Linked DNA regions of Macaca mulatta. The protein of the gene in region 2 interacts with the protein of the main gene of each other region in a pairwise test. Links are inferred from orthologs where the notes say so. Each region holds a gene or a part of one and is shown on either strand. Other genes may lie near its edges.

Region 1 (4,096 bases), about 34 Mb from region 2:
TAGAGCCAATGGTGGCTGACAAGGAGAAATCCTCCTCGCCCAGGAAGAGGGGCTCGGGGGGCAGGGCAGGGGCTGGAGCCAGGCGAAGTGCAGCCTGCAGCTGCTGGAGGGTGTTATGGATGAGGACATGCCTGCGGAGGCTGGGTGCTCGGGGGCCCAGGCTGCGCTGGACTTTGTCTAGGGAGATGCGGAGCAGGGCTTGCTGGTAGCTCTGAAGGCCTGCTGGACTCCACTCCCACCTCTCCTCCTCCTCTTCCAAATCAGAGTGTTTCCTCTTCAAGCCTCCCACCATGATGCCCTGTAGAGAGAAGAGGGGCATAGGGGCATGTCAGACACCAGACACCGTAGTGCTGGCTCAAATCCCACTTTTTCAGGCCTATTGAGTTGTTGGTGATTTTTAATCATCTGAATCTCGGTTTACTCATCTATAAAATGAAGGCTGTCTGAATCCTACAAGGTTAAGGAGGTGAATACATATGTGATTAAGAAAATAAGATCTGGACTTAAGTACAGCTAGATTTAAATCCCACTTACTTGCCTATTGTGGCCTCAAACAGTGAATTTACATCCATGAGAATCAATTTCCTCATCTGCCAAATACGGATCCTAACAAGTTCCTCTGAGCCTTAAAACTGTTCTTCCACAATATTAATTTCTTCAAACATGGAGCACGAAAGACAGGTGTGGAGCAGAGAGACCTGGATTGGAAGTAGGGAACCCCAAATTTGATTTCTGTACTGGAAACTGCTCAGCTGCGTGATCGTGGGAAGTGACCTGAGTCAATTCTCAGGCCTCAGTTTCCTCATCTGTAAAATGGGGACTGTAAAAAAAATACTTCTCACCACCTCTGTCTAAGGAGATGCCACGTATCTATAGGGCCCACCACACAGGAAGTGCTTAATGAACCAGAGTTGTGTTTTGTTTTTTTTTTTTTTTTTTTTTGAGACGGAGTCTCGCTCTGTCGCCCAGGCTGGAGTGCAGTGGCCGCATCTCAGCTCACTGCAAGCTCCACCTCCCGGGTCTACGCCATTCTCCTGCCTCAGCCTCCCGAGTAGCTGGGACTACAGGTGCCCGCCACCTCACCCGGCTAGTTTTTTGTATTTTTTAGTAGAGACGGGGTTTCACCGTATTAGCCAGGCTGGTCTCGATCTCCTGACCTTGTGATCCGCCCGTCTCGGCCTCCCAAAGTGCTGGGATTACAGGCTTGAGCCACCGCGCCCGGCCGTGTTTGTTTTTTTTTGTTAGAGACAGGGTCTCGCTCTGTCGCCCGGGGCTGAGTGCAGCAGCGCTACCATAGCTCACCGAAGTCTCGAAGTCCCGGGCTCAAGCGATCCTCCCGCCTCAGCTCCTGAGTAGCTGATTACTCCTGAGTAGGGATTACTACCACACCCGGCCTCGATCAAGAGTTAATTGCCAGTTATACGCTCAACAGATTTACTGAGTGCCTACTATATTCGAACTTCCTGGGTCCCTGCTGGGGCACCTATGTTAAGATTCTTCTTTCACAGTCAGGATATTTCCATGTCCTCTTCCTTAACCAACTGGGAGCGCTCCCAAGAGTAGGAAAGGGGCCTCATTCCCTCTGCCCGCGCTTTCAGATTCCCCCAAAGCGCGCCCCACAGGAAAACTTGCTAGAACTCAGCTCAGACCAAGCCCCGCCCCCTAGGGGGGTCCCGCCCAATCAGACCTCGGCACTGCAAGGCCCCGCCCCTCCATGGGTCTTTAGAGAGCATCCAGGAACGCCCCAATTTGTCCCAGGGGCTTCTGGGAAACGGGGGCCAACAGCCGCCAGGTACACGAACCGACGTCGAGCACGCACTACAATCCCCAGAGGGCTCCGCCCGTCCAGGGGACGAGCCCCCCTCCCCCGACCCCGCTCTCCCTCAGGGCATGCGCACAGTGGCACAAGCGAGTGGGGGAAGGGAACCCGGACGTCCAGCTGCCGGCGCCCACCGAGCCCCGCCCTCCGTTGCCTCCGGGGCGGCGAGTCTGAGCTCCATGCCCGGAACACCCCTCCCCCACCCCTGACTCCGGCTCTAAATCTGCTTTCTCCCTGTCCCTCCGTGCCTTGAAAGTCCGGGATTCTCCTCCCAAACTGCCCTTGGATCCAGAGACCCAGATCCGAACACTTCGCTCAAAGACGACAATGCTGCGATCTAGTTCGCGAGACTACGTATCCTAATTTTGATACTTCCTCCCACTTCCCCTATTCTCCTGACTTTCAAACGCCCCTGGACTACACCTCTAAACTCGCTGCCCGGCTCCAAGACCCGAACATTGAACTCTTCCCGGCATCCTCCCTTCCCCCGCCAGTGCGTCTTGGAGTCCAAGAATCCTTGACCCTAGCTCTCTCGCTTCTCCAAATACTCAGGATCTCAGCCCCAAACCTCTCACACCTTTTCCAGAACACGATAAAGCCCCGAATTCAACCCGTCCGGAAGACCCAAGTGGAATCGAATCTCCAGGTTCCCTGTCTCAAAAGTTCCTTCCCTCTGTTCTCTCGCTTCTCCAAACGCCCCACGCCCCACGTCCCAGCTTCAAACTCCCTCCACTTGAAAATACTGCCCCAACAACCTCGCATCCCCTCCTGGGTCTCGAACTCAGTCTCGGGCCCCCAGACCCTCCCTATCATCACCCTGAATCTGAGGCCCCCTCCCCCGGTCTCACCCAGACCCCGCCTCCGCAAGTCTCCGGGGCGCGCCTCTCCCTCCTCCAGCCTAAGGTAAATTCCCAAGCCAGGCGACCACTCCTCACCCCAGCTGCCAGGTTTGCCACGACCACCTCCTGGAACGCCCACAGCGTCGCGACCCGCCAGTGCCGGGACCCACCAGTGACCGGCCGGGGCCTCGCTCACCTCGGCAGGGCCTCTCCGTCTGGCTTCGGGCCCACCCAGCCCCGCCCCGGAGCCGAGCCGCGAGCCGCGATTGGCTGGAGTCCCGCCCGCCGCGGGGCGTCGATTGGCTGGGCGGAGCCATCCACCCTTGCCCGGAGACGCCGGACCCGCCCACCCCTCCCTAGCGCCCCGGGCCATTTAAAGGAGTGCAACTGGCAGGGGGCGGGGCAGCGCCTCCAGGGGTGGAGGGCGGCTGGTCCAAGAGAACCGCTTCCTTCCACTGGGCTACGGTCCTCGCTCCAAGATCGTCACCACTACTCCCTGCAGTCCCTTTTTGCCAGGCCTGGACCCCACCGCGGAGCCAGAGGGGCTGGCATACCCTCTGGCTCCGGGAGGTCCAGGCAGGCGGGGCCGAACAACCGGAGGAGGCCGCGCCCCCGGGGTTCCGAGGGCGGACGCCGGGGCGGGGGATGACGTACCGAAAGACCAGCCAATGGTGTGACGCGGCCCGCGTTGCCTAGGCGATCGCAGCCCCGCCCCCTTGCTGCGCTTCTCCCGCCCCCCGTACGTTACCCCGCGGCCCCTTCTTAATCCTCGAGTTTTCTCAACGCGTCCTCTGGTGGTCCTACCTGGGTCTCCTGACACCTCTCTTCTTCCCCGCTCCAACAAGATGACTCCTCCGCTGCTGTTCATGGCTTCCTACCCCTCCTCCCCGAAGACAAACTTCAAACCCCTTCCTTTTGCCACAAAGCCCCTCACGACCTTGCCTGATGCGCTCTCCTGGTTCTCTCCGATCCTGCCCCATTGAGTCACTTCCAGTTTTTCTAAAATGGCTTCAAGCTCCCATTCCCCCCATCACGAAAACGAAAGGATTTTGTCTGTTTGTTTTCTTCCCTGCCTTACCCCAGTGTCTACAATGCCAGGTACATAAGTTCTCAAACATGACAATAAAAGGCCTCTGGATCTTTATTATTTATTATTATTATTATTATTATTTTTTTTTTTTTTGAGACGGAATCTTGCTCTGTCACCCAGGCTGGAGTGCAGTGGTGCAACCTCGGCTCACTGCAAGCTCCGCCTTCCGGGTTCACGCCATTCTCCTGCCTCAGCCTCCCGAGTAGCTGGGACTACAGGCGCCCGCCACCACGCCCGCCTATTTTTTTTGTATTTTTAGTAGAGATGGGGTTTCACCGTGTTAGCCAGGATGGTCTCGATCTCCTAACCTCGTGATCCGCCCACCTCGGCCTCCCAAAGTGCTGGGAT
Region 2 (2,284 bases):
GGCACTCTGAGACCGTCTGGCTCGCCCCTTCTGAGCCACCCGTTCCAGCTCCCTGCGCAGAGACTGCAGCTGCTCCCGCAGGTCCAGCGTCCTGTTGCGAAGGGGAAGAGGAGGGCTCACAGCCCTAGCCCATCCTATTTCCCACGTCTCCTCCTACCCACCTGCCCACAGTATTGTCATGTAAACACACCTGTACACAGGGGTACACCTTAGCTTCTGCTGCAGACAGCCCCCCCGGGGGCTGTCACATAGGCTGCCCATCCCCACCCAGCCACACACCTGGTGAGCGATGCTGCCAGTTCCTGGGCTAACTTCTCTGGGTCCCAGGCCCTGCCCACCTGGCCACCATCAATGCCACTGGTGCCACCAGGGACAGCAGGAAGGCCCTAAGGGAGAGAGAAGACAACAAAGTGACATTAACCTGGGCCAAGTCCGTGCTTGGCCCTCACTGGACATTGAAGCTGCCCAGACAGTGGCAGCTGCTGTGCTCTCAGAGACCCCCGTCTGGTTCCATACCCCAATAAGAGCGAAATTACACTCTGATAAGGGAAATATCTTATTTAATTTAAAAAAAAAAATTTTTTTTTTTTTTTGAGACAGAGTCTCACTCTGCCACCCAGGCTGGGGTACAGTGGCACGATCTTGGCTGACAGCAACTTCTGCCTCCCAGGTTCAAGCGATTCTCCTGCCTCAGCCTTTCAAGTAGTTGGCATTACAGACATATGCCACCAGACCTGGCTACTGTTTGTATTTTTAGTAGAGACGGGGTTTCACTATGTTGGCCAGGCTGGTCTCGAACCTCATCTCTAAAAATAAAATTTAGGGGCCAGGTGTGGTAGCTCACGCCTGTAATCCCAGAACTTTGGGAGGCCGAGACGGGTGGATCACTTGAAGTCAGGAGTTCAAGACCAGCCTGGCCAACATGGTGAAACTCTGTCTCTACTAAATATACAAAAATTAGCTTGGCATGGTGGCAGACCCCTGTAATCCCAGCTACTCAGGAGGCTAAGACAGGAGAATCGCTTGAACTTGGGAGGCGGAGGTTGCAGTGAGCCGAGATTGTGCCACTGCACTCCAGCCTGGGCAACAGAGCAACACTCCGTCTCTAAATAAATAAATAAATAAATAAACATTTGGGCACGGTGGCAGACGCCTTTAATCCCGGCTACTTGGGAGGCTGAGGCAGAAGAATTGCTTGAATCCGGGAGGCGGAGGCTGCAGTGAGCTAAGACTGTACTATCGCACTCCAGCCTGGGCGACAAGAGCAAAACTCTATCTCAAAAACTAAATAAATAAAGAGAGATGAGGTCTCGCTCTGTGGCCCAGGCTGGAGTGAAATGACGTAATTGTGGCTCGCTGAAGCCTCCAACTCCTGGGTTCAAGTGATTCTCCCACCTCAGCCTCCCCAGTAGCTGGGACCACCCTGCCTGGGTAACCTGATAAGGGAAATAAATAACAGGAAACCTCATCTGAAGTCACTCCAGGAGGGTTTCCTTGAGGAGGTGATGTCTAAGCTGAGATCTACAGGAGGTCAAGGACTTTATGACACAAAGAGGGAAGTTCCTGGCAGGGACACAGAATGTACAAAGGCTTGGAGGTGGGAGAGATGATTCAAAGAGCTGCATTAAGGACAGGCGCAGCGACTCATGCCTGTAATCTCAGCACTTTGGGAGGCGGAGGCAGGCGAAACATTTGAGGCCAGGAGTTCGAGACCAGCCTGGCCAACATGGTGAAACTGCATCTCTACAAAACATACAAAAATTAGCTAGATGTGGTGGTGTGTGTCTGTAATGCCAGCTACTCAGGAGGCTGAGACAGGAGAATCACTTGAACCTGGGAGGCGTAGGTTGCGGTGAGCAGAGATAGCAACATTGCATTCCAGCCTAGGCAACAAGAGCAAACCTCCGTCTCAAAAAAAAAAAAAAAAAAAAGGGGGTCTGTGATTGACAAGGGCTATGTTCTCATTAGTAAGCTACTACCCCTACCAGGTTCAGGCAGGGCGGCTCACCTGATACCACTCTTCCTCGTCCCCACTGCTGCCACCTCCGCTGCTATGTCCACCACTGCTGTTTGCCCCACCAGTCCGGAGCTCCGCCCGTTCCCACCGCAGCTGCTCCAGCAGGAGCACGTGAGCTGGACCCAGAGCTCGGAGGGCAGCCTCCCGCAGCTCTAGGCCCCGCTTCTCACGCCTCACCAGCTGCAGCCGAAGCATCAGGTCCGTCAGGGCCTCCTGCGGGACCAAGGAGAGGGGAGAGAATTTCTGCTTCTACGGTCAACTGCAGGG

The links. The genes of interacting proteins can lie anywhere in the genome.
Region 1: the proteins of USHBP1 (region 2) and SERTAD3 interact in binary tests that used the Homo sapiens proteins (3 or more experiments, as listed by UniProt). The two-hybrid records come from large-scale screens. The link is inferred for Macaca mulatta from reciprocal best matches to the Homo sapiens genes USHBP1 and SERTAD3.

What each region holds. Positions count from the first base shown.
Region 1 is NC_133424.1:51,551,264-51,555,359, forward strand, and holds the start of SERTAD3 (SERTA domain-containing protein 3), read right to left. Parts: upstream 2,801-4,096; 5' UTR 2,755-2,800; intron 1,622-2,754; exon of another isoform or gene 1,303-1,621; intron 804-1,302; exon of another isoform or gene 535-803; intron 299-534; coding exon of another isoform or gene 293-298; coding exon 1-292.
Region 2 is NC_133424.1:17,739,118-17,741,401, forward strand, and holds part of USHBP1 (harmonin-binding protein USHBP1), read right to left. Parts: intron 2,231-2,284; coding exon 2,009-2,230; intron 387-2,008; coding exon 280-386; intron 92-279; coding exon 1-91.